3 linked regions of the Rhinolophus ferrumequinum genome follow. The protein of the gene in region 3 purifies or fractionates together with the protein of the main gene of each other region. This does not show direct contact. Links are inferred from orthologs where the notes say so. Each region holds a gene or a part of one and is shown on either strand. Other genes may lie near its edges. The genes, in order: LARP1, NCBP3 and SRSF3.

What was found.
Region 1: the proteins of SRSF3 (region 3) and LARP1 purify together in Homo sapiens (co-immunoprecipitation; 3 studies listed by BioGRID and IntAct, with this or other methods). This does not show direct contact. The link is inferred for Rhinolophus ferrumequinum from reciprocal best matches to the Homo sapiens genes SRSF3 and LARP1.
Region 2: the proteins of SRSF3 (region 3) and NCBP3 purify together in Homo sapiens (co-immunoprecipitation; 3 studies listed by BioGRID and IntAct, with this or other methods). This does not show direct contact. The link is inferred for Rhinolophus ferrumequinum from reciprocal best matches to the Homo sapiens genes SRSF3 and NCBP3.

Annotation. Positions count from the first base shown.
Region 1 is NC_046307.1:25,613,336-25,624,031, forward strand, and holds the start of LARP1 (la-related protein 1), read left to right. Parts: upstream 1-6,412; 5' UTR 6,413-6,849; coding exon 6,850-7,288; intron 7,289-10,696. UniProt on the Homo sapiens protein: RNA-binding protein that regulates the translation of specific target mRNA species downstream of the mTORC1 complex, in function of growth signals and nutrient availability.
Region 2 is NC_046304.1:14,690,007-14,700,725, forward strand, and holds the start of NCBP3 (nuclear cap-binding protein subunit 3), read left to right. Parts: upstream 1-6,203; 5' UTR 6,204-6,260; coding exon 6,261-6,443; intron 6,444-8,361; coding exon 8,362-8,427; intron 8,428-9,983; coding exon 9,984-10,089; intron 10,090-10,719. UniProt on the Homo sapiens protein: Associates with NCBP1/CBP80 to form an alternative cap-binding complex (CBC) which plays a key role in mRNA export. NCBP3 serves as adapter protein linking the capped RNAs (m7GpppG-capped RNA) to NCBP1/CBP80.
Region 3 is NC_046286.1:6,458,856-6,468,810, reverse strand, and holds the start of SRSF3 (serine/arginine-rich splicing factor 3), read right to left. Parts: upstream 3,880-9,955; 5' UTR 3,752-3,879; intron 1,996-3,751; 5' UTR 1,994-1,995; coding exon 1,788-1,993; intron 536-1,787; coding exon 401-535; intron 1-400. UniProt on the Homo sapiens protein: Splicing factor, which binds the consensus motif 5'-C[ACU][AU]C[ACU][AC]C-3' within pre-mRNA and promotes specific exons inclusion during alternative splicing.

The sequences.
Region 1 (10,696 bases), on a different chromosome or scaffold from region 3:
TATATATATATACAGTCGTTTCCCGCACCCTCCCCTCCATCCATGGTTTCACTTTCCACAGTTTCAGTTAACCTGCAGTCAGTCCAGAAATATTAAATGGAAAATTCCAGAAAGAAACAATCCATAAGTTTTAAATTGTGTACCATTCTGAGTAGCATGATGAAATCTTGAGTTTTCCCACCAGGAACGTGAATCATCCCTTTGTCCAGTACATCCATACTGTATATGCTACTCAGCTGTTAGTCACTTAGCAGCCATCTCAGTTACCAGATCAGTTGTCAGAGAGAGAAAGGAGAGAGAGGGAGACCACAGTCACATAAGTTTTATTATAGTATACTGTTATACTTTTTCTATTTTATTATTATTGTTGTTCATGTTTTACTATGCCTAATTTATAAATTAAACTTTATTATAGATATGTGTGAGTATAGGAAAGAAACATAGCATATATAGGGTTCAGTACTATCTACAGTTTCTGGTACCACTGGGTATCTTTTAACGTATCCGTCTTGGATAAGGGGGGACCACTCTCTGTGTGTGTGTGTGTGTGTGATTTAGCACTTGACCTTTGACAGTGTTGCTCTCGTTACTAAAACATTGATGTGATCAGATGATCAGAAATGATCCTGCATTCATTCATTCATTTTCATTTCTTTGTCCCGTAAAGACACAGAGGGCCTGCTGTATAGAAAGCACTGCTGATGATTTCTACAAGGGATACTAAGAAGAATGGTGTATAATCCCTGCTTTCAAGAAACATAACATAATCTAAATAGAGGATAAGACATACTCCTCAGTAACCATAAGTGAGGGTAGAAAGAAAGTAAAAAATATTATATGCTTTAGGGAAATTGCCACTGGGAGTTAAGAATGGGAAAAAAATGTACTCTACCTGTGGAGATTCAATCAGACTTTGTGAAGAAGTCGGCATTTTGTATTGAGCCTTGAAGGACAAGTAGAATTCTGGACAAGTAGAAATGGAAAGGTATTATTGGCAATAATAAAAGTAATGAAACGTAATATTTACTTAGCACATACTATGTGCCAGGCATTGTGCTATTAAATTACACACATTATCTCATTTAAGTCTCACAGAAGCCCTATGAGAGAAAGTAGTATTATCATCTCCAATTTATAGGTGGGGAAACAGAGGCTTAAAGAGAGGTTAAATTTTTGCCGAAAGTCATGAAATGGAATTCACACATACACAGAGGGTGCCAAGAAAATGTATACACATTTTAAGAAAGGAAAAAAACGATTAAAATTGTAATACTCAATATATACCGATAACAAAAGATGAATATAAGCCACATTTGACTTCTGCAATTGCAAGAGATACTCAAAGTGGTCACCATCAGTGTCCAGACTCTTCTGAGTACGGCCAACTACTGCTTGAGCAACGTTGACCAAAGTGTCCACTTGTATATATTTTTTTGGCACCCCGTATATATGAGTGTATGTGTATGAACAGCTTTGTCACAGTGAGAGAAATAACATGAATTGAGGCAGGAAAGCATGGGGGGCCCACAGGGGATTAGACAGGGAGTTTCCTGAAGGTGGGGAATATGTGTGTCTTGCTCAGCTCCCCATATTCAGGGCCTGGGCAGTATCTGGCACATTGTAGATGCTTAACAAATTATTTTTTTTTTAAAGATTTTTTTTTTTATTGGGGAAGGGGAACAGGACTTTATTGGGGAATAGTGTGTACTTCCAGGCCTTTTTTTCCAAGTCAAGTTGTTGTCCTTTCAATCTTAGTTGTGGAGGCTGCAGCTCAGCTCCAGGTCCAGTTGCCGTTTCTAGTTGCAGGGGGCACAGCCCACCATCCCTTGCAGGAGTCGAACCGGCAACTTTGTGGTTGAGAGCCCGTGCTCCAACCAACTGAGCCATCTGGGAGGCAGCTCAGCTCAAGGTGCCGTGTTCAATCTTAGTTTCAGGGGGCGCAGCCCACCATCCCTTGTGGGACTCAAGGAATCGAACTGGCAACCTTGTGGTTGAGAGCCCACTGGCTCAATGTGGGAATCGAACTGGCAGCCTTCGGAGTTAGGAGCATGGAGCTCTAACCGCCTGAGCCACCGGGCCGGCCCTTAACAAATTATTTGTCGAGTGAAAGAAACGGTGAGTGGTTCTCTGTTGCTGGAGTCTAGGGTGTATGGCTGGAAGTCAGAGGGACAGGGAGGGATGTGAACGGGGGTATTTTAAGCAGAGGCAGGACCATCAAAGTCCATCCAAGTCAGAGAGCTGGCTCAGCCAGAGAATAGTTAGTGGGAAGTCTGTCATGAGACCACTTGAGAAGTGCAGGAACGCCAGGGACGGTAGCAAGGCTGGGGAGAGTGACTGCTTAGGGTAGAATGGAGGGAAAAGAAGCTGAGATGGTGCCTGTCTCTAACTCAGAGTAGCGAATGTGTTAGAAGTTAATTCTCTATCAGACCTTCTTCACTGCAAACCCACCCTGCTCCTTTGCCAACCCCCTTGGGCCTCTGAGCCTACTTCCTCATCTGTAAAATGGGGATAATCATATTTACGGAGAAGAGTTGCCCTGGAGGTTAACCAGGTATTATGGGAGCAGTCAGCACCCTCCCCTACTCCTCACCTTACACATTAGCTATTGCTGTCTACATCTACTTCCCACGAGGAGATCTAGGCTGAGCCTCCTCCCATGAACTGAAGTAAGTTTCTTGGCATGTGCCAGAAGGCCCAAGAGTCTCCAGGGTTTGGAAAAACACTCCCCAGCTGGCACTGTTTGTTTTGGCCAAGGTCCCTGCCTTTGCTGACCCCACCCACTCCTCCATGTCGGTATAAAGAGGCCCCTGATATCACAAGCAGATAAGTGGTACAGCCCAAGTCCTCCCAGAATCACAAGGTCCTTTGGAAAATCAAACTCAAAAAGGAATAAAACTGTGCATCCATGTGTGTTAAATTTTCTTTCCTAATAAGCACAGACAACTCAAGGAATCACCCTCCCCCCACTCCGCTTTTACCTATGCCCCCAAAAAGACAGAATAAAGTTTCGTGGAAACTATCATTTTTCACACTCATCAGCCAGATGGGCAGCTATTATGCTTCCCATTTTGTGGATGGGGAAATGGAAGCCCAGGAAGGAGGCTGCCCAAAGTCATTCAGCAAAGTCGGAGATGAGACCAAGGTTATAAACCAGGTCTCCTGGCTCTCTAGTCTCTCGTGTGGCCTCCTCTGTCTCTCTTTAGGACATTGTCAGCACCAGGAACAAACAAACGCATAATTAATTACAAAGAGGTATTTGGAGCCACTTTATAATTTTTATTTTTTAAGTTTGATTTTTCTCACTGTTTCTGCATGTGTTTTCAGTACATGACGTGTGGAGGTCTTGGGCACAGCACAAGTTAGTCTGATCCTTGTCCCTTTCTGCCTAAAGCCTATCTTGTCTTATCTCTTTTCGGCCTGAGGTCACCTATTGCTTAATTACTTGCCCCCCATCCCCCCAAAAAGTTTACCTTTGGGAGAGACAGGACTCAACATTTTTAGTTATCTTCCCCAGGCCTATGTATTTGATAGCAATGGAGGGAAGAGAGACAGGCCTTACTGTGTGGTGTGGTGGGTAAGAACAGGTCCTGTGGGATTAGGCTGCCCTGAAAAAGCCCACTCTGATATTTAGCTGCTGCCTGGGACCCAGGCACCCACCTTACATTTCTTTTTGAACTTTGTAATTGTTTGGAGTTGAAGATACCTTAGGGCCTAGCCTAGTGCCTGGCACATAGTAGGAACTCAATAAATATTCGTGGGAAGAATTAATACCTATCTCATTGGGTTGTTGTGAGGATTAAATGGGATAATGAATGTCAAGTATTTCTCAGAATCTAGCATACAGTAGCTACACAATAAAAGCTACTTTTAACTATTTGGTCATTATTAGTGTTTAGAACTGAACCCATGCAAATAGAATGCCATGGTGGGTTAGGAATAAAAAAAACCTTGGATTTCAAATCCCAATTCCATCATTTCATGTAGAAAAAACTATTGGATTTAGGATGAGGAGACTCAGGTGACGGACCTGGCTCTGCCATGGATTAGCTGTGTGACATCTGATAAATAACTTTTCTTCTCTGAATTTCAGTGTCCTCATCTGCAAAACAAGGAGATTAAGTAATCATCAAGATTCTTTTTTTCTTGCTTTAACAGCTCATTGTAAGATGTAGTCTCACACCTGTCTCTTATCTTCTTTGGCCCCAGTTTGCTGGGTTTCTTATCTTCTCTGGCCCCAGTTTGCCCAGCGCACACAGGTGTTTAGGAGCCGAGCCCCTCCCTGGGTGTGCAAATGCCAGTGCCCCTCCTGCCTCCATACAGCAGGGCCTGGCAGCACTTGTTCAGCTCAGACTGACTGCTGAGTGGTGTAAATTGGTTACTTGAACACACAGAGCCCTGATGCCGTCATAAGTTGTATAGGGGCACTTTTCCTTCTGCCTCCATTACAGGAATATAGAAAAGAATGATCAACAAATGACTATTATGTTTCCTATTAACAAAGTTTAGAGAGAGCCTAGTGTGGAGACTTCAGGAACTATTTATCAATAAATACAAAAAAAAAGAATGCATTCCAGTGGCAATGTGCAATAATTTATCATCTGATTAAAGTTATATACAAAGCAATTATGGAAAATTCTGCTTAAATTCATTGAGATCCCTTTATTATCTTCCTTGGTACCTCTTTTGAAGCACTGGCCTCGGTTTTTATAATTTACACAGCTCTTTGACTCGCACATTATCTCACTTGACTCCTCACAATAGCTCAGAAGGTAGAAGCAAGTCAGGCATAATTTACCCCCATTTTTCCACCAGCAAAGAAGGCCCAGGGAAGTGTGGAGAGTTGGCCACACAGTACAGTGTCCAAGTTCCGGAAGAGTTGGGCTTAGACATCATATTGCCATCATCTCTCTCCAATTGTCCTGATTACAACAACCCTACAACTAGCCTTGCCCTATGGGGCAGCTCCAAGAGGCTTTTCAATAAGCCTTCTCTATCCAGCAGGTTGTGGTTTCTAATCATTGTCTTGGAGATGGCCAGATTTCTGGGCTGTTATATCTTGAGCAGGTGGGATCACCGCCAGAAACCCGGACTTCTCCAAGTAAAATGTGGGATCACCTGGTGGGTAAGTACCCAAGGGAAGTCTTGTTAGACATGCAGATCTCTGGGTCTAATCCCAGACAGACTTGATTCCAAACGCTTTGGAATATGCATTCAATGTTTTCATCGTCCAAACTAAAGTAGCTGATCTAACCTATTACTGTAGTCATTATTGTCTTCATAGATACTAGACAAGGACTTGTTAATCACTTAATTTTGTCTCTCTACCTTAGAATGTAAATTTCATGAGCATAGGGACTTTGCCTGGTTTATTGCCAAACCCCGTTTCCTAGAACCCAAAGGCCCCCACAGTACGAGGTCAGTAAATATTTATTGAATTGTGCACTAAATTTTGAAACCACTGTTATACACCACTCTTTCGCTTTACAATAGGGAAACTGAGGCCCACTGAGGAAATGACTGCTGCAGAGTTGATAAGGGGCAACGCCAGGGTCAGGATAAAATCTCAGACCTCAAGAGTCTCAATTGGGCGTTGGTTCAACTCCGACCAAAGCCAATTCTTTAGAAAAAATGAAATCCACTTGAAATAAAAGACATTTCCTGCCCATAAATGCCCAGTTTCTGGGGCTTGGCCGGTTTGGGATCTGTTGGTAATTCGGTTCCCACTTCCTAGGCGCCCACTGCCCCCAAGGGTTAAGGGCCCGACTTCCCGGCCGGGCATCGAACCCTTCTCCAGGCAGTATTCCCGAGGCCGGCGGGGAGGAGCCGAGCACAGTCAGCAGAGGTGAGGGCAGCTAGCCCAAGGTCACCCGGACGGCGCTTGGGGGGGCCAGGCCCGCAGGGCACCAGGGAACCGGCGGCCTCCGCGCTACTTCGGGGTGGATGGGCACCCCCGTCCATCATCTTGTAAGACGAAGGTGACATTAATGGTTCCTTCTCCCGAACCTGGCACATCCAACCTAAAGAGCGTGAGCAGGCCGTGCCGGCCGCGTGGCCCGCTCCCATGTGCTCCACCTGCGGCCGCTCTTTAGCGCTGGTCCTTTAAGACACCTCCCCTTTTTTACCCCCCCCCCACCCCACATCTCTCCTGCCTCCTTCATTGCCCCCCCGCTCCCGAATTGCATCAGGCACGTGCTCGCCCCCGTCCGGTCTGAGCACCCCCTCGCCCCCTAGCCTGGGAGGTGCACTGAGGAATCGGAGGCTAGGGGCGGGGCGGTGGGCGGGGCCGCGAGGCCGTGCGCGCGCGCTCCCGCCGCCTCCCGCCCGCCTGTCGCCAAGGGTCGGCCTGAGCGGGCGCGCCCCCGCTTCTCTGCCCCTCCCCTCGCTCGCCGCGTCGTGAGGCGCGCGCCCGCCCGCCGCCTGCCGCGGATCGCGTGGTCGGCTCGGCTCGCCGCGCCTCTCCCCCGTCCGTCCATATTGCTGCAGCCCCCGAGCCGGGAAGCCCGGGCCGCCCCGGCGGCGGGGGGGAGGGAGGTACGGGACGAGAAGCCTGCCAGGCTCGGGGTGGGGGTGCCTTGCGAGGAACGGGCGGGGGGGGACGCGCGCCAAGGAGGCCTGGACCGCAGAGTGGGGGGCCTTCCACCCCCCCCCGCCCCGCCAGCGGCCTGGGATCTAAGGCGGCTGCATCCAACCGGGAGTGGGACCGCGCCTAGCGTGAACCCCGACCCTTCTCCGCAGGGACTGGGGCCCAGCTCTCCGGAGGAAGGCGTCGCGGGCGCTCTGAGAGCCAAGTTCGAGGCGGGGGAGGCCGCCTCGGGCGCGCCCGGCTTCTCCGGGGGGGCGGGCGCGCAGATGGCCACTCAGGTGGAGCCGCTGCTGCCGGGGGGCGCCCCGCTCTTGCAGGCCGAAGAGCATGGGGGGCTGGTAAGGAAGAAGCTGCCGCCGCCGCCCGAAGGCAAGGGCGAGCCCGGGGCGAACGACGTCGGAGGGGGGGAGTCGGACGGCGGCGCCCGGAGACCTCGGCCGCCCTGCGCCAAGCCACACAAGGAGGGTACCGGGCAACTGGAGCGCGAGAGCCCGCGGCCCCCGCAGCCACCCGGCGCCGAGGGCCTGGCCTTCAGTGACGGGGAGGAGGGCGGCGGCGGCGAGCCGGGCGCTGGTGGAGGAGCGGCCGGAGCCGCGGGCGCCGGGCGCCGAGACTTCGTGGAGGCCCCTCCGCCCAAGGTGAACCCGTGGACTAAGAACGCTCTGCCGCCGGTCCTGGCCACCGTGAACGGACAGTCCCCTCCAGGTGGGTCTTCCTGTTTGCTATGCAGGGTCCGGGGGCCTTTTCCGGGGACATAGGCGTCCCCTCCCCCAGCGGCCTCCAGGGCCTGGGGTCCGCCGCTGGTGGTGGTGACTCGGGATTTTTTTTTTTTTAATTGCTTCCTGGCTAATTCGGGTCGCTGTGCCCTCCCCACCGACACACTCGGGAACCTGTCCCTGCCCGAGTGTCCGGCCTCCAGGAGGCCATGGCCACCGCCTGGGCCGCAGCGGTTAGTGGGCAACGGCGTGGTCCGGGCCTACCTCGCCGGGAGCGGGTGGGCGCTGGAATCGGTGAAAAGAATCCTCTCTCCCACCGCGTGTTGGTGTGAGAGACGGTTCCTGGCCTAAACCTTCGGGAAGCCCCCTCTTCCCACCCCGCCCCACGCTCCTCGTTTTGGTAGCGTTGCGATCGTCCCCATGTTGTAAATGTTTAATGAGCATATGTCATGGGCAGCAAAGCGCCCAGCGATGAGTTCATATCAACTCCACGGGTTCGACATTTAGAAGTTAATAAGTTTTGTTCTCAAGTGTATGATATTAGGCGGTAGAATCGCCATTGACGACGCGTTGAGGGGTCGGTTACGAAGAGAATGGGGAGAAGAGGAAACCCAACGTGTCATTGAATTCGGTGCTTTCCCTCCCCGATCCCGGGGATCTTCCGCCTTGAGAGGGAGCCGGATGGCGAGTGTGCGGGGGACCCAGTTAAGGGGTTGGCGGAAAATATGAAGCTAGCGAGGGGGCTTGCGGCGGCACGAGGGGCGTGTGGCGGCGGGGGAGGGAGTGGCCGGGCTGGGCGGGCGGGTGACAGTTGGGCGCCATGCGCCGCGCCGGCGGACTGCTCGCGGCCGCTCGGCCTGTACATTCCGCGCCCGCCGCGGCGCTGGGGGTAGAAGGCGGGTGCGGGCTGGCGGCGCGGCCGGGAGTGTGCGTGTGCGCGAGTGTGAGTGCGCGGCCCCCCTTCCCGGCATTCCTCCGCAGCCGGGACAACGTGGTGCCTCCCCGCGCGGGGAGCGGCATGTGACCGCAGAGCCGCGCTCTCCACGCCTTCTCCCTCGTTTTTTTTTTTTTTTGTTTTTGTTTTTGTTTTTGGTTTTTTTTGGTCTTTTTGGGCCTGGTCTTTTGGGGAGGTGGGGGTGCAGGAAGTCCTAGCGGAGCCGTGTCAGCGTGGGGAGAGAGGCGGTGAAGAATATGGAGGCTCGTCTGGGCCTCCCTTTGCGGAGAATAGACGGTCGCCTTGGGTTGGGGGCGCGCCCTCTCTCCTCGGTTTGCCGGCGCGTAAGGGCAGAGTGGTTCTGGATTCTTCGGTTTGGGGTCCTTTTGAAGTGGACCAATACCAAAACCCGTTTGAAGCTAGAAGGATGGCTTGTGGCCATAGCCCTAATGCTTTTTTCAAAACTCCTCCCCTTCTGCAGTCGCTGGTTGAAGCTGACTGGTTTAAACCATCGAAATGGGGAAAGTTGCAGGGGGGTGCTTAATACCTTCACATTCAAGGGAGTAGAATCATTCGTAGTCGTAGGAAAACCAGAACAGCCAATTCTGAAAATGGCGTGTTGCAATTTTTATTTCTTTTAAGGTTGCTTCATTTGGAGGAGGAGACACTTGGGGTTTACTAATAGTACCTCAAACCGTGTTCTCTTCCTTCTGCCCTTCCCCCCTTTCCCTTCCAGAGCCCTCTTATGCAAAGGGCATTGCTGAAACCTCCATTTTCTTGCATATCCCTCTTGATCCACCCACTGAAGGAGGGAAAGCAACTTTAAGACACTCTTTGGTCCTTCCCCCATCTTAAAACTCAAAGGGGTATAATCATCCCCAGGAGAGAGCACTCCTCAGAAGTTTAAATGGGGCTACTCACCCTGGCTGCTGCTGCTTAGCCAATGGTGAGCCTGCCTGTGGGTTTTAAATCAATCATGACATCAGGTGGTATTGGGTGCCTGAGCTGGCATTTTGTGCAAATCCAGGGACCCTTGATAGGGTGCGTCACTGGGGTTATTGGTCGCGGGAAGAAGACAGCTTGGCTGGCATCTCACCTTTTCTTCCAGTGGAGAAGCCAACTTGCATTAAGTGCCCAAAGCAAAATTCTGAGTCTGGTAGGTTTGCTCTGTTGTTTTTCTGGGATCTTAAGGCAAGAAAGCGTCTTCTCTATTCATTGGTGTTGAACCTTTGGAATAGTCTTGGACAGACTAACTGAATTAGTCCAGTAGCTTCTCTTTTTAAGCCTGTAGTTAGGGCTTGGATGCTTTTTGAGGGAAAATTCTGTGATCGACTTGTCTGTCTGGTAGGGTTCTATGGGGGTCCTGTCTTTGGAGTCTACATGGATAGCTAAGGCCCTTTTCTAGCCCTGGTTTTATTTGCAGCTTGGACAAGTTTAAATGTGACACCAATGGAGTGGCAATGTGGTCTTGGGAATTTTTGTGTTCTGTAATGCATATGTTTTTGGGAGTCTACAAAAATGAGTGCCTCATAAGCAAGCTAAAACCTTTCCAAAGCTTGTTGCAAATGCCTATTTTTAGCCCTTCCTTTTGGCTCAGATGCTAGTGTTTTAGTTCTGTAAGGGCCACACGCAGTAACTAGTAATAAAAGATGTTTTTCGATAATCCACCCTTGTAGGGTTCTCTATTCTGGTTTAAGCTTCCACGTCTTACCTTTGTAGTTTCAAATCTTGGGATTTGCGTTTTGGCTTGTTGTATTTGCCTCCCCTAGAATATTTTGAAAACATTTAAAATTTTTTCCTTATCCTAGCCACAACTCTAAGTGTAATGGGAGAGGCACAAGATGTTTTCGTTAAAAAAAAAATGATGTATATATAGCAGAAGTTCTGGGGTCAAAACTGCATGGGTTCAAATGCCAGCTCTTAACACTTGCTGACTGTGCCTCCTCCGGCAAGTTCCTTAACCCTTCTGTGCCTCAGCTTCCCCATTTGTATACTGGAGATTAAATTATGATTTATCTGCCTCTTGAGGCTGTTGTGAGCATTTATTGTGATAATGTGTAAAGCTTTAGCCCAGTGCCGGGCATGTGGTAGCTGTTATACCAAGTCTGGGAGACAGACTGGGACTTTCCGGAACTTTTTCTGGGTCTTTGTTTTCCCCACCTGTCATTTGAGGGGGTTGGGGAATGCAGTGCTCCTTTCCTTTTCTGGTATTGTTGGTGGTGTATCAATACTCCATGAAACATATGGGATCATCTCCAGAAAAATGGACTTTTGCTTATCCACAGGCATAAAAGGCATGTTATGGATAATCCTAACGGTTGGTAACCCAAAGAATTGGCTATTTTTGCTTTGGAATGTGGTATGATGAATGTTTTAAAAATAAGTTTTAATTAGTTTATGTGCCTTTCATTAAGATTACCTTTGGGGACAGTGCACAGGTGCTTTCAGGGCTGTGGGGAAAGG
Region 2 (10,719 bases), on a different chromosome or scaffold from region 3:
ACATTGTTACTAATGAAAGTCCACAGTTTACATTAGGGTTCACTCTGTGTTGTAGTTCTGTGAGTTTTGACAAATGTATAATGACATGTATCCATTGCAGTTTTATACAGAATAGTTTCACTGCCCTAAGAATCCCAGTGCTCTACCTTTTCATCCTCCACTCCCACCAACCCCTCACTCTCCACTCCTCTAACCCCTGGCAACCGCTGATCTTTTTACTGTCGTCGTAGTTTTGCCTCTTCCAGAATGTCGTACAGTTGGAATCATACAGTATATAATCCTTTCAGCGTCCTAGGTGACTAAAACTTTCATTATTGGAGGCCGGCCCGGTGGCTCAGGCTGTTGGAGCTCCGTGCTTCTAACTCCGAAGGCTGCCAGTTCAATTCCCACATGGGCCAGTGGGCTCTCAACCACAAGGTTGCCGGTTCGACTCCCACAAGGGATGGTGGGCTACGCCCCCTGCAACGAGCAACGGCAACTGGACCTGGAGCTGAGCTGCGCCTTCCATAATTAAGACTGAAAGGACAACTTGAAGCTGAACGGCACCCTCCACAACTAAGATTGAAAGGACAACAACTTGACTTGGAAAAAAGTCCTGGAAGTACATACTGTTCCCCAATAAAGTCCTGTTCCCCTTCCCTAATAAAAAAACAACAACTTTCATTATTTTAAAAATTGAAATATAATTGACATATAACATTGTATAAATTTAATGTGTACAACATATTGATTTGATACATTTGATACAATATGATTGCCATTGTAGCATTAGCTAACACCCAACACTTCTGTCTCATCATACAATTATCATTTCTTCTAGTGGTAGGAACAATTAAGATCTAGTCTCTTAGCATGTTTAATGTTTAAAATACAGTTTTGTTGTCTGTAATCACTGTACTGTGTATTAGATCTCCAGGATTTATTTATCTACTAGTCACAAGTATGTGCCCTTCCCTAGACGATTTTAATGAACATCGAGGATTGACATGAATAGCTCTGGTCTAGAATTTGGTAAGGGAGGGTGTATGTCTGGTGCTTCATGTTTCTAAATCTAATTCAGGAAAAGGTTTCATTTCCTTCTGATATGTCCATCCGTCCATCCATCCATCCTTTCAATATTTGTCCAGAGCTTTTTATCACCAGGCACTGAGTTAAACACTAAGCTAAATCAACACCGTTCCTACTCTCATGGCTCTCAGTCCATCGCAGGACACAGACATTAATCAAGTTGCCAGGCACATGTGTGGGTGATTTTGAATGGATATGGGCACTCTATAGGAAAGGCTCGCAGTGGTGAGTCTCTGGTTGTGGTTGGGGAGGTTTCCCCGAGGAAGGGAAGCCCCAGCTGAGATCTGAGTACAGTTGGAATCATACAGTATATAATCCTTTCAGCGTCCTAGATGTTTAAAACTTTCATTATTGGAGGCCGGCCCGGTGGCTCAGGCAGTTGGAGCTCCATGCTTCTAACTCCGAAGGCTGCCGGTTCAATTCCCACATGGGCCAGTGGGGCTCTCAACCACAAGGTTGCTGGTTCAGTTCCCACAAGGGATGGTGGGCTGCGCCTCCTGCAACGAGAAAGAGCTAGCGAGGCCAAGGGGGAGGAAAGAAATCTCGAAGCAGCGAGACTAGCTTGTGCAAGGGCCCTGTGGGAGGAGGGACAATTTGCTTTCCAAGAACTGAAGTAGTGATGTTGGGAGTAAGGAGGAGAGTAGTGCCTGCAGCTGGAGAGGAGGAAGGGCTGGATAATGTGCTGAAAAGAGGAGGGATAGGAGTGGAGGAACCAGAAAAACAGAGAAACCAGTGAGGAGGCCACTGCAATGTCCAGACATTGCAGAGGTGATATGTTGGTGGCTGGGATGGAGAGAAGCTGAGGGATGAGAGCTGAAAGGAGGGACAGAAGCAGATGGGCACGAGGGATATGTGGGAGGTCAGACTGACAAGACTGTGTGGCCGTGGCTATGGGGGTGGGAGAGGAAGGTGTGAAGGGTGGCTTCTGGCTTCCACGCTTGTACACCTGGATTCACTACAGTGCTGATCAGGGAGGTAGGGAACACAGGAACGGACCCGGCTTGGAAGGAGGATTCTGACTCTTAGTCAAGTTGAGTTTGAGGTGCCTTGAGACATTCAAGGGAAGATGTCCAATAAGTAGTTGAACATATGGGTCTGGAGCTCAGAGGAGAGGGCAAAACTGGAGATGCAGATATGGAGTCCTCAGGCTGTGGATGGCCGTGGAATAGGAAGCCATGGGTGTGATGAGATGGCCCAGGGAGTGAGCACGGGGTGAGAAGAAAGAGGGCCCAGGATCGAGCCCTGGGAGATTGTTAATGCTGCGGGAAGGAGGAAGAACCCTAAAAGGCACTGGAGCAGGCGTAGCCTGGGAAGTGAAAAGAAAACCAAATGTGATCATACAATAGAAGATTGTGTGTGGTTTCAAGACCTGGGGAGCGGCTATCAGTGTCCATGATGCTGAGTGGTCCAGTCAGGTGGAGAAAGTGAGGGAACACAATCCTTTCAAGAATTTAGCTGTGTTGGGGTTGGGGAGCATACGGGGTCTGACAATTAAGTTTGTGAACTCACTCTAGAAAAAGTGCTGCCTACCTCATTCCTGAATATCACTACGGTCACCTTTGAAGCACTCCCCTTGGGAAGCTGTGCACCGACGCCAGAGCCTAGTCCACCCTTCAAAGCAATTTTGAAACTCTTTTTCTGGAATGGCCATCAGAGCTGTCGTCATATTACCCTTGATGTCCTGAATGTCATCCAAATGTCTTCCTTTCAATATTTCTTCTGGTAAAGAAAGAAGTCATTGAGGCCTGGATCAGGTGGGTAGGGAGAGTGTTCCAATACAGTTATTTGGTGACTGGCTAAAAACTCCCTTACATGCAAGAGCCATGAATTGTTGGGGAAAATTTCAGGTCGTCTAACTTTTTCACACAGCCCGTTCAGCGCCCAAATAGTAATAACCTTGGTTATCTGTTTGTCCAGTTGGTACAAATTCATGATGAATAATCTTTCTGATACCAAAAATAAGTTAGCAACATTGTTGCAACAAGCCCACGAACTTGTCAGACGCGGTAGATACATATATCTTCTGCATCACGGTCAGCTGCCTCAAGACCTTTTCTTTCACTGTAGAAGCTTTTCCTTAATTACCAACCTGCACATATTCCAAGGACGTGAAATGGGGGTGTGGGTTGTGGGTGTCCAATTTAAAACCGCATCAAAGAACAACTCTGAATCAGCAGGGCATCACCTCAGGCCCGTGGACCATGTTACCAGTTCTCAAGTAGCATTTGATAGGAGCTCATATTACCTTTTAATGGCTTTTCCCTTTTTTATCCCAGGAGAGGTAGGATCCCATTATTCATTCCCCTCTTCCCTGGAAGAGAGAAGGAGTGGCCAATTTCAGTCAAAATTTTAAGAAAGAGGAATCTTTCAGAAGACCCTTAATATCCTCTTTGTCCCTTAGCCTCCACCTTCACAAACTTCTCAAAAGAGTTGTCCACACTTCCGCAAATTCCACTTCTAATCTACCGTCCTCTTCATGGACATCGTCTCATCAAGGTCACCGATGGCCAGCAAACCTCTAGACCCAAGCCAAGTTTCACTGTGAACTTATGGCTGCCCTTGATACCTGATCACTTCCTGGGTGAAACTCTTCTTTCAGTCTGTCCCAGTGTCCCACTCTCCTGGTTTCTTCTGTTAATAAAAAATCATCCAGACTTTGGAAATAGGAAAAAAGAACAGGAAAAAGAACTACACTGATATTCTTTCAATGTAGTGCCAGGTGTACCTATTTTGCCCAGGGGTTATTGATTCTCTAGGGATGTGTACCTTTGTGTACCTTCCGATTTACTATCTATTAGGGCATTTTACAGCTCTGTAAGGGTAGAAGTTAATTTATAGAAAATTCATAATGAGCAAACAATTCTTGTCCAATAGCGATGCAAATGTTTTCTATCTGGTAGAAAAGGAAACCCCAAAGGTTACAGTTTTTTTGCCTTGTAGGACATTAAATTGTGTTGTTACATTAATTTCTGTGTTCTTTTGACTGACCAACTCTGTATTCATTCCCAAATTCTTTTTTGAACCAGTGTTAATATCTTTTCGATGTCTTCATCCCCTAATGAATGAATAAAAGCTTTGACATGTGTTCATTTCATATTGGGGAGTCATGTTTTTCAACTTTTCTTTTTTTTTAAGATTTTATTGGGGAAGGGAACAGGACTTTATTGGGGAACAGTGCGTACTTCCAGGATTTTTTCCAAGTCAAGTTGTTGTCTTTTCAATCGTAGTTGTGGAGGGCGCAGTTCAGCTCCAGGTCCAGTTGCCTTTGTTAGTTGCAGGGGGCACAGCCCACCATCCCTTGCAGGAGTCAACGAGTTGAACCGGCGTCCTTGTAGTTGAGAGCCCACTGGCCCAAGCGGGAATCAAATCTTCGGCGTTAGGGGAATGGAGCTCCAACCACCTGAGCCACCGGGACAGCTCTCAACTTGTTCAAGAATTATTTTTGACCACTTCTGTTTCCATGGCCCCACTTCAGCAGGCTGCACCGAGGACAGGAAAGGGGGGCGGGTGGTGAGTCAGGTGACTAAAAAGAGACAAAGACATGAAGGGCTTTCCTGACGGAAGTCTAGGAACCCTGGGGTTAGCCTGATGCCCTGACTTGCTCTGGATTTCTAATTCTCCTGCCAGCTAGAGCTCTGCCACAGGAGCTGGTTCTCCCTGAACGCAGTGCCTGAGTCCTCAAGCCACAAGGCTCCTCCCACCCTGCAGGGTGAGAGGCCTGCCCAGCCTTTTCTGCTTTTCCGGGTGTCCATAGCTGAGAAGGGATTCCTCCTCTCCTCATTCCCCAACCCCTCAGGCCTAGAAAACACGTGTAATGGTGGGGTTTGTCACTGTCGCCCAAAGCTAGCCACCCCAAGCACAAACTTTCTCTGAAATGTTCTTAAAAATTCACACAAATGCATTCCATGCATGCAACCCCATTTTGTAACTAGTGTCCCTTTTGTCAAAACTAGCCCTCTCAAGAGCTCCATCTTTTTTGTCCTGTGATTTAGCCCACATTTAAGAAGAACTGATGCACTGTGTCCCTTCTATTTGATCCTGTATCTACATGTAATTATCTCATTGAACCCTCACACCTCCTTTGGGGGTGAGGAATGTCCCATATTACTGCTGAAGCAGCTGAGATTCTGAAGTGGTAAGTGGCTTGCCCAAGGTCACACATGGTGTAAGGAGCGGAACCAGCCAGTTTTGATGCTGATCATGCTCTCTCTTGGTTTATAATTATTTGTTCCTCCATGATCATAGCTGGCAGGTCCTCAGGGACCCCAGGGTCCCACCCATGCCCTCCTGAGATGGGAAGACAGGCCCAGAAAGGGACCAGAACTAGCTCAAGTTAACACGGGGAGGAAGGTGCAAAATCTGGACTCAAAGCAAAAACTGCCCTCTGGAAGCTTATAGGACACTCCCCCTCTCCCAACCAAGCTCTTGTTGAAATGTCTGCAAGAAACCATGTTCAGAACCTTACAGTGGACTAAGCCCTCTGGAGTCAGGAAATTGAGGGTTAAGCTCTGGCCTTTGGGCAGCTCACTACCCTCTCGGAGTCTCAATTTTTGTGTATGTAAACTGGGTCAATTATTGGGACACCTGAAAAAGACTAACGTTGTTAGTAAGGCAAATACATTGTAAACCTACAGAATACCTAGAGGTGACAGACCAAAGCTCATTCTGGGCTCTGGAGCCAGATTAGATTGTCTAGGCTCAGATCCAGGTTTTTGTCTCTTAAATAGTCTGTCACCTTAAGTAAATTTTTATGCCTCAGTTTCCTTATATGTGAAATGGGGACTAACACTACCTACTACTTCATAGGGTTGTTGTAGGGATTCAAGCGCTTGTAACAGTCACTGGCACGTAATGACCTCTTAGTAAAGTTAGCTTTCATTACAGGCTTACTGCTCTAGGCGTAACTGTTAGTTCTAAGCCCAGAAAATACCGATCTCCTCCAGGCCCTGCCCCCTCCAACAGGCCCGTCCCCATCTCCATTCGGTCCCGCCTCCTCATCTCCAGGTCCCGCTCCAGCCTGCCCGGGTTCCTCCTGCCACCAGGGGGCGGCAGCGCTAAAGGGGGAGGGGCATTCTAACTGAAGCTGGCGACGCTCTAGGTAGCGGCGGCGGCTGCTCTGTAGCCAGTGGCGGCGGCGCTCTAGCCAGCGGGTGTGCGGGGCGGGCTCTCAGTGGTGCGGCCGGCGGGCGGCGATGGCGGCCGTACGGGGCCTGCGAGTGTCGGTGAAGGCGGAGGCCCCAGCGGGGCCGGCCTTGGGGCTCCCATCGCCTGAGGCGGACTCCGGTTTGGAGCGTGGCGAGCCGGAGCCCATGGAGGTGGAGGAGGGCGAACTGGAGATCGTGCCGGTGCGGCGCTCGCTGAAGGAACTGATCCCGGTACGGGCGGGGGACGGTGGGCGAGGAGGAGGAGGTCGCTAAGAGAGCGAGTGCCCCGCGCCGAAGCGGGCCGGAAAGGGAGGCGGCCGGCGCCCGGGCTGGGGGAAAAGTCAGGGGAAGGGGAGCGAGGGGGGCGAGCGCGGGGGGTGGGGGAAGGGGGCTCCAGGCTGGAGGCGAGACCCGGAGCGAGAGAAAGGACGCTGGGGCGCCCGGAAATGGGTGTTGAGGGGGCTGGAGGAGGTGGGGTAGAGCTGGAGGGTACTTAAGGACGTCCCTTTCGCTGCCCCTCTGAGCTAGTCTGTGCAAGGGGGTGATTGAGGAGGGGCTGGGATTGTCTAGGGGCTTGAGATAAAGGGGGAACCCCAGGCGGGAACAGGACCAAAAGTGGCCCAGAAAGAACTGTGGCGCCAGCATCCAGCCCTCCTTGTGGGTCGTGCTCCGGTGGAGCTGGTGTCTGTAAAACCTAGCACTCGCGGGTTTCTCTTGGAAGGGTGGGACTTGTCAGCAGCAGGAACTCAGTGTTTCTGTTGTGGCTTGAGGGCCGTCTTGTCCCCCATGCAGCCCCACTGCTATGTAGCACCTACACCGTGGCCCCAGCATCTGACCCTTAATGAACCCAGAACATCAGCGAACAGCAGTGGTCCTTGGTCTGTTTTTTTAATCACAATGGAGATACTGAGAGGTGTTTTGCTTGTGGTTTGGTGGTCCAGTGTCCGGTTCTTATGGCTGGTCTCAGACCTGCATGGCTCTTCTCAAGTACTTAATTTCTCACCCAACACAAACTACTTTTTACCACGTCAGCAAGACATGCTTTTAAATTGAAATTATGGGGAGAGGTGAAGGTGGGAATCACTAAAGATAGCAAATGATAGTGATTCTGGTAGCAAGGATGAACAAAGTGGCATTTTACCATTAACTACATTGTATCATTTAAATATTACCCAGGTTGTGAAGTCGACATCATCCCTTTATTCGTTCAGTTTAACGTGTGTCTATTGCATCCCTCACTACAGGTGCCTGGCACAATCCTAGGCACTTGATCAAGATCAAACTCCCTCCTGGAGTTTATGTTCCAGTTGGAGGACACAAGTAACAATTTCTGATAGTGGTAAATGCTATGAAGAGAATAAAACATGTTAATGGGAACAAAAGTGCAGAGGGCGGGGGGCGGGGTGCAAAATGGGCAGCAGAATGGGATAGGATGATCAGGGAAGTCGTCGGAGATAGTGACATTTAAGCCAAACCCTAAACGACAAAAAGGAGCCAACCATGTGCAGACTTGGAAGAGAGTGTTCCCAGCAAGGGCAACAGTAAGTGCAGAGACTGAGATGGGAACAAGATTGTTTTGTTGGAGAAATGGAAAGTTCTGCAGCATAAGTGAAAGAGGTCAGGAAGGCCTAGATACGAGGGTGGATACCTAGGCCCAGAGAGGCCAAAGGAAATTGCACAGTGTTGTGTAATCTGTGAACTGCGACTTGAGTCCTGAGCTTCCAAATCCCACCCTCTTCACTGCACTGTGCTGTTTTCCCTTGGAGGTCTGGGTGAGTCGGGGCTTTCTGCATTTTGGTGAGGGCTTGTGCTCCACCTGGTGGCCTGGCCTGGTGCCTTTGATCTGTCTGGGTTGGAGGGAGAAGTGGACGTTTTTCACGAAAGCCTTTAGATTTTCACTTACACAGGTACTTTCAATAGATGGAATTACTTCAGGTGTTGCACAGGCTCTGATCTAGAAAAGACTTCTCATTAAGGTGGTTGATGGCTACCAGGGAGTCCCTGGGATGTTGTTTCCTCATAATAAGGGTTGTGAGGGTAGGGGAAGGATTGCTGAAGCGAATGACTATTCAAAAGGCATCAGCTGTCTTTTATTATGAGATTTTCCTCAATAGCTGTAAGCATTTCATACATTTCCCCCTCGTGTTAGGACACAAGCAGAAGATATGAAAATAAGGCTGGCAGCTTCATCACCGGAATCGATGTCACCTCCAAGGTAAGACAGACCAGGATTTATTTATTCATTTTGAGAAGCGGGTGAACTTCGTCCCTAGGACTTGTGGAACTGCAGTTATTCTTTACCTCCTATTTTGTTTTGCTGCAGAATTAAACATTTTTAACTTAAATTTCATATTATACAATGATGCCTTTGTGCATTCTGGAAACATCTGGGCAATATTTTGTTCTCATATTCACGACAAGATGAAAATCACAATACCAGGGTGACTGCGTAACCACATCCAAGAGAAAGTTCTGCACTGGGAATGCTTTTTTTATGCTATGTCCCTTCTTTAAAAGTGCATATACTGTTTCCACTTTAAATGAAACAAAACATGAATAATAGCATTATATTGCTATATTGGCTGTATAAAAGCAAAAATAAAAATAAATATGTCATGCCTATGTTTTATCTGGGTCTCAGTCTGTCAGATGGCTTAAAGGCCAAAAGAAAAAACTGACCTTTTAGACAAGAAAATAAAGTGAAGATGTTTTCCTGTTGTAATTGAAAAAGAAGTGGACTGCACTGTTCTTAATCCTACAGTTTGCCATTATGTGAAACAGATATATGGGGGAAAGGGTAGTAATCCCAGAACTGATACTTAAATTATGGCTAAAGGAAGGTAGATTGTTTGCACTGGCAAGATGTAAGTGAAGAAAATTAGCATAACTATTGGGAAGTAACAGAAGTGTTGCTGCTTTACCAATCCCCACAAGCTTTCTATAGTCAGACCTTCAATTAGTGTGGCAAAGTTAATACACAGTGAAGGGTTCCTAAGAGCTATCCGAAACCCACAGTCGGACCTGATTTATTTTAGCTCTTGAAAAAACTTATGAAGCTGATTATTTTGTTTTTCAGTGAAGCGTCAATGCTTCTTGTCACTTAAGGATGCAAACTGGCAATTCCATAGACACAAGCCTAGAATAGAAGACAGAGTTTCTTTGCCTCAATGTTATTTTTAAACCAGGAAAAAGCCTTAGGGAGTGGACTGCTCAGGCATACATAATGTGGAAGAATGCGATAGGTGTGATTACCATGCAGACAGTGTGAAGTGGGCGTGGTGGTAGGGCTCCTAGAAATAGCACTGAGATCAGAAGATCTGCCCCCCCTTACTAGCTGAAGTACCTCCCGCAAACCTTTTAACTATTTTGTGCCTCAGTTTCTGCACCTGGAAAATTGGGAAGTTGAGATTGTTTGGTTGTAATTTGTTCAAAGACTGATTGCTAATAATAAATGAAATGTCAGAGAACTAAAGCATTTATTACTCATTGAATCAACAAATATTCACTGAATTCCTACGCTTCTCCAGACACCATGATAGGCATAGAATCATCATGAAGATTATTGCAAATTATAGCAGCGTTAGTGTATGCCTTCCTAGTAATTGACTTTGAATATCCAGTTCTCTTGAAAAAATTATTAAAGGTACATTGTTGCTTATTTCTCCTGATTTATTTTACAGTTGTCACTGATGCATTATGTTGTGTTTGTGATTGTGTGTGTGATTTAACTTTCCTCGTCCATTGAAACATGGCTTTTTCTGTACCGTCTAGGAAGCAATTGAAAAGAAAGAGCAGCGAGCCAAGCGCTTCCATTTTCGATCAGAAGTAAATCTTGCCCAAAGAAATGTAGCCTTGGACCGAGACATGATGAAGAAAGGTACGGGGCGTTTCAGGGGAATTTTTCCCTCATTTCCCCAAAGAATAACTTTTCCCTGCTTGGCCTTGTGCTTCTGGCCTTGCCTTGCATGTCCAGGTCTCATCCAGATACTCCCAAAGGAAGAGAACTTGTGAAGTCTCCATTTCTGAGGTGACCTGTTTAAAGTCGAGCTGCTGTTAACTGTGTCTCAGATGTTACAGCTGAAAAAAAAGAGATTGTCTTATCAGAGGAGGCCCAAAGCAAGTCACCCAGTGAGTGGCAGAGCTGAGATTAGAACCTATGCTTCTATAGACTTTTACTCATTTTCTGCTTTTATCACAGAAGGCTTAACTTTTCTTTCCCTTTAAACGCAGTGGACGTGTATCGCCGTGAGACCTTCTTTTAGGGGAATCAGAACAATATTGAGATTGGTGAGGGAAAGTCATCAATACTTCTGTTGATACAGGCTTGTGATTTTATTTAATTTTTGTGTTTTGTTAGGGTATTTTGCTTCCTAGAACTCACCATGAATTATAGAGAGTAATATGCCCCAGTCTTCTGAAACAATTTATAAATAAAAGGGAAAGTTATTACTTTTTTAGTGAGTTCATTGCCTAATTTATTATTCCACTTTAATATAAATCCACGAAT
Region 3 (9,955 bases):
AAAACAGCTGCCTGTTTGATAAATATTACAATCGTGCTAATAGTAGAAAACACATTTTTGTGAAGAGCTAGAGTTGAATGTAATGTTTGTCATTATGGAGTCAAGAAATGGAAAAAGGCCTAAATTGAAGTACAAGGGAAGACTTGGAAAGATGCAACTAGAAGATGAACTAGAAGATAGATCCAAGATAGAAGTTACTGACTACCAACATGAACCTAAAGACAAAAGCCAACACTCAGCACAACTCACATACCCCAAACTACACCCAGCAAATGTTTCATAAAAACTTCCGATTCTTCACAGTAAGTTTAAAACCCACCAACAAAGTTTAAGAGAAATACCTGCTCCTATTAGCTACTCCATTACACCAATACCTCTAAGCACGCTCTCTCTCAAGTACCTGCGGCGAGGTGGAGGACTCCTTCTCCGATAATCGTCTCGAGGGCGACGACCCCACGAGGGAGGTGGACCACGATTTCGACTTCTCTTTTCACCATTCGACAGTTCCACTCTTACTCGGCAGCCACATAATGTTCTAGAAGGTAAGAAACATTGCATTTAAAGCCACACTTTCTAAGAGACATGTGTTAAAGCAAAAACTATTCCTAGTTAGTGTCTTAGCAAAAACACATCCGAATGCCTGTAGAATCCTTAATACCGAAACAAGTTTTTGTTCCCATATTTTTTTCTCTTAAAGAAAACCAATTTCCTTACTGTTAAGAGTCAGTCTCATCAGTGGACTCTGTTAATTTAACAGTTGCAATTAAAGTGTGAAAACCCCTGAATTCATCCTCAAAGAACTAGTTCATCTGTACATCCTGTTGTGACTTCTTCCTTGGAGATCTCAGCACTTGTTTAACTGATCTGACTACACTGTATTTGTTGGTCTCCCCCCCACCACATCCATGTAAACAGAGCGATAAACAGGACAGAAACATTTTGGTCATTTTACATTACATCACCCCTTCCCCTCAATCACCATCCTGATAGTTGACCAAGAAAGTGCAGCTGAGAATAGTAGAAAAAGGCAACTATTCCTCACTCACTTCTTCATTGGCCCATAATCATTAAGTTTAGATAAGCCACCATATTTGGACAATGGGAAAAGGTGGGGGTCTGGAAATGTTTTTGCAATCTTCTTGAATACACAACCTTTTATACAGCTTTACAGCCAACCCTCAGACCATTTAATTTTGGGATTTTAAGGATTAACAATTTTCCTTGGTTTCATGAAAACCAATGGTTTGCAAAACCAAACAGATGGTGGAAGGATTCACTATTAAGACTCAGGCATTACTTATCAGCCAACTACCTTAATAGGGCACTAATTACAAAAGGAAATGCCAAACAATCCATACTTCCTAAAGGAAGCATTTCAAACACAAAAGATAATGGTTTAATAATGGTCCCCATGTTAACCATCATCCAGCTACATACAGCAAGCATCCTCTTAAAGAGGATATTTAATTCCACAATTGTTTTAGAAACAATTCAAAGATGACAACACAACTGACAATGAACAATTTAGATTAAAATGTTGCAACCATATATTAGATGTAGCTGAATCCACCAAGAACTGACCATTAAACTTTTCTTCAAAGGCCAGTCAACTTCCTACTAAACTCTACTAAAACTATTGAGCCCTATTTTTGATTGCAAAATAGTTTTATGTAAATCTCTAGCCATCAATTTGATAACCAGGAAGTCATCCAAAACCAAATATTCCCAGGGATTTTAAAAATTAGAAACACATATTCACCATTAGTATAAATCAATCATTAAATTACCTCCCATCTAGCTCTCGGACAGCATCGGCTGCATCTCGGGGATCTTCAAATTCAACAAAAGCAAAGCCGGGAGGGTTTCTAGCAACCCACACACTTCGGAGTGGTCCATAATAGCCAAAAGCTCGTTCCAGTTCAGTCTTGTTACCGTTGTTTCCAAGATTACCTACATAAACCTTACAATCCAATGGACAGGAATCACGATGCATTTCTGTAAAACAAACAAAAAAACTCAAAATATTTTAATTTACCCAAATAATCTACAGTGAAAAAAAAATTCTTAAGAATGCCAAAATATAAATACAAATAAAAAAAGTAAAACTACCACTCTTGAAACACCCATTTCTCTCTGATCGTTACAGATAACTGTCAGGAAGCCAGCACAAATTGCTTAAGAATGCCTCCTTAAAAAGAGAGGGAAAAATAAACACTGGAGAAACATTTACTAAAATCTGGGCACTGAGTTAGGGACTTTACCTGTTATTTCATCTTGAACAAAAGCACTTAGAAAAGTAGGATAACCTCAGATGCAAATCCTTTGGAAGCTCAAAAACCAAATCAAACAATGCAGAGAACAGTAGTTAAGGCTAAACCATTAGAAAAGTCTTACTAATTTGCCTTATAAGCCAAAACTTTAACCAGCTTCATTCCTAACCAGCAAGGGTGTTATGTATTTTTTTTTACGTTATCTCATAGCAGCACTATTCTTAACAGCCAGAGGTATTAACCCAAATGTCCACCAATGGGTAAATAAGCAAATGTATTATCCATACAATGAATTATTCAGTTAAGTACTAATAAATGCTACAAACACGGACGAATCTCAAAAACATGCTAAATTATAGAAGCCAGACACCAAAGTGCACCTATTACGATTCCATGTATATGAAATGTTCAAAACAGGTAAATCCAGAAACAGATTAATGGTTACCAAAGCTGGGCAGGAGGCACTGGGGAAAAGGGAGTGGTTGCTTAATTGATACAGGTCGAGTCCTCAGGAGAGGTAATAAAATGTTTTGGAACTAACGATGTGATAGTTCCACATTATGAATGTACTGTCGCTGAATTACACACTTTAAAATGAATCTTGTGTTAATATCACCTCAAGGGGAAAAAATTAGGTGTTTCTTATGCAGGAATTTACTGAAATTTTGGGGCTTGTATTTGATAAACCTTCACCTCCAAGTCGCCTCAGCAATGGTTCTAGTCACCTTGTAGGCCGGTTTCAATTGCATCAAAGAGCACCCTACTCAATAACTCACTTCAAGGGCTTTTCATGAACAAACACCACACATTCTTTTTACTCTGGACTTATCCAGTTAAAAAAACCAGTCCAGACACATGCTATCTGCGTGACCCCACCCTGTGCCCAGGAGTTGAGACCAAACCACTGGAGACTTTAAAAAAACAAAACAAGAAAACCTTTGCCGTGACCAGTTTCAGGCCTACAGATTAATGGGAAGTAGCTACAAGAACAACACTGCTCACGGAAAATCGGTTTAAAAAAATGGGTCCAGGCTGTAAAATATGAAGTCAAATTAAAATAAAATGAAAACAAAGGTGAGTACAAAAACCATTTAATACGGACCGAAAAGTCCAATCTTGATTAGTGCCTTGAGAAAAAAAAAATCCTAGGATCTTAAGAAAACGTGGAGGGAAAAAAAAAGGCGCCATAAATTCAAAGGCCGCGCGGCCTGGAGTACAAAACGGTTACCGGCTCCCCCTTTGTTTCAACTCTTGGGTAATCCCACGTCCCAGTTTACCCCAATTGAGGATTATAAACACCACTTCAGGGCCGGGGTACGGCCTCGGGGGTCCTGGAGCCCCCGCCACCGCCCCGTGCAGAACGTCACAAAATGGCGGCGGCGTCTCTTTGTCTCAATCTGGCGCCGCCATTGGGCCTGGCCCTACCTCGGTACTGTTAAGTTCCATTTGCCTCTTCACTACTTTGGACGCTGGTCTCTTACCGAAATCTTGGGTTAGAAATACGGAGGCTCAAATCCACACACCCACGGACGGCTCTTCCGTTCCCCTCCGCCCAGCTTCACAAGCACTCTCACAGACCCGGCGTCCACGAAATGGCGGACCACCGCTGTCTCCTTGCCTTTATTTATACGGCATGATGAGTCACGTGATTGGACTGGCTCGCCCAATGAGAGGCCGAAGAGGCCGTGACGTGAAGGCTACAAACTCAGCGAGAACCGCGGTTGCTGGGAGCGTGCTCTGGCCACGCCGTCGGGTCGGTGGTCTGGTGCATATGCCTGCGCTCCAGCCGCCTCAAACGTGGAGCTTCTTCAGGTGTTCCCCCGTTGCCGATCTCCAAGTTATTTTCAATCCCCTCTCCCTCGTCTCCAAATCGACTGGCGTTATTAACACTACTGCGGTCACTCCCAAACACTGATAGAGCCATTTGCTCCTAATAAGATTTAGATATTAGATGAATTCATTACTTGATCCTAGCCAGCGGTTGGGCTGCAGCTAAGACCATCGCGTTTACAAACGTGCCTCAGAGTTGCTCCAACGGTCACTGGGCTGTTTGTGACCCAGCTGCCATCAGATTGTGCCCGCCCAGGTCCTACATTTATGGAAAAGCCCGATCCTGAAAAGTCAGCCCGACTCTGGCTGGTTTTCCGCCTCTCACCCCAACTGCAAGGTTTGGCAGAGACGGGTGGTGTCATCAGCCTGAACTCTTAAAATGTTTAATAGAAATTCAAAGGCAAATGAGACCGTTCAGGCCGTCTGGAAACTATCACCTTTACCGAATAACAATAAAAGGAAGTTCCTAAAGAAGACTGAATTTAAATTCTGGGCCCCAGAACAAATGCCAGGAAGGGCACGTGTGGTTTTTCTCCTGGAAAAGGCTGTTGTGTTGATCTGGTGTAGGGTTGGGGGTCCGTGAGCCACTCACACCTTCCTCTGTTTTCCACTCCGCCTAGGAAGACAGAGCCGCAAGAATTATTAACTGTTGGGAGAGAAATACTGCAGTTGTGTTAGTAAAATCACCATGACCTTCCTATTCGGAAGAGGGAGTTCAGCTACGGTAGGAAGTGTGTCTGGTGTCCTCAAACTTTCTCCTGTACCCCCTTGCAGTGGACTTTGACTTACATATTGCTAAAATTTATTTAAATCTGCTCTCAAGGAAAAAGGAAAAACAACAATAACCTGTATCTACTGTCATTAGCTTCAAGATATGACAATTATTTACTTAAGTCTTAGATCTCCCAGATATTTTCCTTTGAAGCCTTATCTCCCATTGTGGTTCTAAGAGATTTTTCCATTGTGGGGGAAAAAATACGAAGATTTAATCACCAGGAGCCTTAATTTTCTCACCTATAAAATGGGAATTACAGGGGAGGAGGGGGAATGGGAACTAAAGTTGTTGAGCCAGGCCCTGCACCAGCCTTACCTGCGGTGTTTCCCAGGTGAAGGGGGATTCTAGCAAACCCTCTCTTTCACATCTTACTTTTTTTTCCTTCTCTAAATGCTTTTCTGTTCTGGCTCATTTATATTTGCCTTGACTTGCTCCTCTCCTCTTTTCTCCTCTTTTTAAGTTTTTCTTCTGCCAAAGCAAAGGCTGTGGAGTCAGACAGTCCTGGATTTGGACCACAGCCTCACTGCTACTTACAGCTAAAGTATCTTAAAAAGAATCCCTTAACCTGTTCAGGGTTAATTTTTCTCTCTGTGAAATGGGCTGGTACCTTGCAGGGTTGTTATGTAGGTGCTGTCTCTACCCATAAAACTTCAGCGTTTGTCTATTGTGGTCCTTCCTGTGTTCCCAGGGCCTGGAAACAAGTCTGGCACACAGCAGGGTATCAATACATATTTGTTTACTTAATTAAGTAATTAAAAGAAATATATATGCAAATCACCTGGCACAATTTCTTCTCCAAAAATGCTGACTCTTTTTAAATGTTCTTTTCACATCTCCGTATCCCATTCTTTCCTACAAATTTTCCTGAGTTTTTCGTTTGTGTGTGTAATGCTAATCGAGCTTGCATCTTTTAATGGAGCACTCTTAATCCCTCCGACTGTATTCATGAATACAGTTTGAACCTCCTCTGTCCATCCACACACACTTTCTATCTTCTGGTAACCACAGCCAAATGAATTATCTATCCATTTAAATTGAGGAATATCTTACTGTTCCTTTAAATTTATTCAACCACCAACCATTCTTGTCTAGATCCTAGAACCACGTGAAGCTTCAAGAGAACCTATCAGAATTTCTTGGTAGGGACAGAGAATGGGGATCATATGTTGCAGTGAACATCTCTTGATTTTCTTTGGGAAACTACCTTTCTCACAGTAAACCATGTTACTGATTCAGGTCTGGTTGGGCCCTACAACCCACTTTTTCAGGGGTAGGGACAAGATCACCCCTGGTTAATTAAGTCATTCCAGTGCTTAGCCCCACTCCCACCCTAATTAGAATGGATGAGTAATCCAAGAATAGTCAGCAGTTAATTCCAGCACTACTGCTAGGCCAACCAAAGAGAGGTTATGCTCATTTCCTCTGACCAGTGGGGTCCTGAGCCAGGGCAGCCATCCTGTTTCCAGAAGGGAAGAAGCAGGCTCGGGTGGACCCAACCTAAGGGAGGGGAGCTGAGAGATGGGGAATAAGGAGCCCTGGACCTCTTGTTGAAGAACCCAGTTCCATTTTCAGAATTCCCAGTTATTTGAACATACATGTTCCCTACCTCCTCCCCCAACTTGCCTAAGCCACTTTGACTTGATTTTTTTCCTGTCACTTGTACACAGAAAAGATTCCAAATATAGAAATTACTCTGACACAGACTTCTCACTTCCTCAAGTTGAGAACCATGGCACCAAGTTATCTTGCAATTCTAAAAAAATTCACCTGTTACCAATTCACTAAGTACTTTTCCTTTTTTAATGTAAGAAAAAAAAAAGTTACTGATGGCTAGGCATGAATATCTATGTAGAAGAATTAATACTTTAAATATTATGGTTGACTTCAAGTATCCATGAAGGAAAATCTAATAAGAGTATAGACCTTAACAATATTTCATTAATTACTTGGTTTAGTCAATGTCATGGCAGGAAGCACATAGCACACTCAACAAAGAGTTACTGAAGAGGTAATTATGTACAGAGGTATGGGCAGGGTGAGGAAACCCGCAAGGGAAGGAGGGACTCCCTGAGGCAGCTCTTAGGCCCAATGGGGCAAGGAAGGGAGCAGGGTTACCAGAACCAGCTAAGTACTGTAGCTACAAAAAAGAGGTCACTGTGACCCTAGGTAAAGGCACTGCAACAGCCCAGTTGTGGTTTGTTGGTTTTTTGGGTTTTTTGTGTGCGTTTTTTGGAGGTGGGGATGTCAGAGGTGGAAAAACTGAACTACTCTCTCTTCCCATAGTTCCATCTTTTCATGGTGCCTCCTATATAGCACAAAGTCACCTGGAAACCTGAGGGCGCGAGAGCTGGGTGATGCAAGCCTAGAAGTCAGCCTCCCAGGGCACAGAGCAGAGCAAACTGGAGAACTAATCTAAGTCTATGCAGTTTAATAGCAGCATCTAGGCACATGTGGCTATTTGAGTCTGAACAGAGATGTGCTGTAAATGTAACATACATGCTGGATTTCAAATAGTATTTAAAAAGAAAGACGTAAATATCTCATTATTAATGTTGATATTGATTACATGTGGAAATGATAACATTTGTAATGTATTGAGGTAGAAAGTATAGTATTAAAATTAACTTCATCTATTGCTTTATACTTTTTTAACTGTGTGGCTCACATTATATTTCTACTGGGCAATGTTGATCTACCAGGACAAATGTAAACTAACCACACACAATTACAACACATAATCATTCAAAAACTCATTTTAAACATATGGTTTCACTTATATGTATAACCTGAAAAAACAAAGAAAACAAAATAAAAACAGACTTTAGAAACAGAGGCCAAAGGGATGGTTACCAGAAGGGAGGGTGTGGGGAGGATGGGTGAAAAAGATGAAGAGGAATATAGTTAATAATATTGTGGTAAGTTTGCACAGTGACAGATATTGTGGACGGAAAAGGGCCACATGTTAAATCTGACAAGCTCAGGAGACTGAAAATAACCACATAGGATGGCTTGAACATAAAAATTCCTAAGGTGGCCTTGGCGGGAAGTCATATCCTTGGCCTGTAGCTTCCTTGACAAAGGTCAATCTTACCTTAAGTGAGCCTATCTGTTGTCCTTTTCCCATCTAAGATAACATACACTTGGAATATCAGAGTAATCCCTTTTTCTGGATCCCTCAGGGGGCACAACCCACCACACCAGAACAGGAAACTACAATATCGCTTATTGTTATCTAATTACCCAAGTAACATCTCTTTGTGCTGTAAAATGGTATTAACTATACTGTACCCACCAATGTAAAAGAAGTGTGTGTCTCTCTATTTTGCTTTATATCCAATCCCAGAGATTTCTCCGCTTTGCTTTCTCCCACCCCCTTAATCTACAACGGATGGATTTCATGCAACTCTCCTCCTTTGATTCTAATGTATAAAATACGTTGCAAAATGGCCATTTTTCTGGAGCATTTTCTCAATCCGTTGAGACTTTGCTTCCCAGCAATTGTCGTCAATTTGGCTCAAATAAACTCTTACAAGTTTCCCTTAGGCAGGATGTTTCTTCGTTGACAGATGATTACTAGAATTAGTGGGGTGATCACATTGTAAGGTATAAAAATATTGAATCACTATATTGTACACCTGAAACTAATATAACTAATACAATATTGTATACCAACTATACTTAAATAAAACTTAAAAAATCAGGGAGAACTTTTTTACTATAATAAAATAAATTCTCAAAAAAAATCAAATAAATAAAAAACTCATTTTAGTTTCATATCCTGAACAACTATGTGAAAATAGTGCTTTCTGCAAATTACATAGTTTTAAGCTTTTTTAAATAACTAATTGCTTTGATGTTTTGAGATATCACCCTTCTATGTATTTTTATATGATTCCCTGAAATAGTTTTTTGGGTCATATTACATAGTTAACAACCATTCATTCATTCAAGAAGTATTTATTAGGTACTTTCTATTTTCCAAACACTGAGATGGATTTAGAGGAAAAAGTAGTAAGCCAAAACAGAGCCTCAGGTTGCCAGAGTGGGTCTAAATTCCAATATAGAGGAACATTAGAGAAAAAAACTACACAAGTAGTAGTGAAATTATTTATGTGGAAAATGGTCTGGAGAAGGAAGTGGTGCCTTAAGAACATACCTTAGGAGAGATTGGCCTGATTAAGTAGACCAAAGAAGGCTTCCCGGAGGAAGTGAATGAGCAAAAGCAGAGATATCAGGCAAAGCTTGTGAGAGGAGAGAATGTTTCCTGGAAGAGGGTACAGAATGTGTAAAGTTCCTGTAATAAGTTAGAAGAATTTTTTAAAATAATAAATAAAGAAGCCAGTGTTGCTGAGCACAAAGGTGAGGGATAGACTTAAAATTTTATTAATATGTAAAATGTTCATTTTATACATGTATTGATTCATATATCAATAAGTCCTTACCAAGTGCCTAATAAGTGCTTTCAACAAAGCAAGATGAATCAGTCACATTCATTCAGTCAATAAACATTAATTGAATACTTATTATGTTTCTCTCTGGAAGGCTCAGAGAGCTGCTATAATATAATGGTAGGTTAGAAGTGTGTGCAATCAGGAGACTTCCTCCCTCCTACACATAGAAGATTCTAGGTGACAACTAGACTTTTCATTCTCTGAGGGGGGGTTATGTCTTGAAAGGAATATGATTGATTCTGGTGTTTTGATTAATATTAAATTTATCAAAGTTTAAAAAAAATTTTTTAAAGATTTATTGGGGAAGGGGAACAGGACTTTATTGGGAAACATTGTGTACTTCCAAGATTTTTTCCAAGTCAAGTTGTTCTTTCAATCGTAGTTGTAGAGGGCGCAGCTCAGCTCCAGGTCTGATTAGTTGCAGGGGGGCAGCCCACCATCCTTTGCGGGAGTTGAACCGGCAGCCTCGTGGTTGAGAGCCCACTGGCCCATGTGGGAATGGAACCGGCAGCCTTTGGTGTAAGGAGTATGGAGCTCCAACCGCCTGAGCCACCAGGCCTGCCCAAAGTTTTAAATTCTTGTATCCAATTTTTTTTTTGTATGGTTAAGCTAACCCTCTCATCATTGTT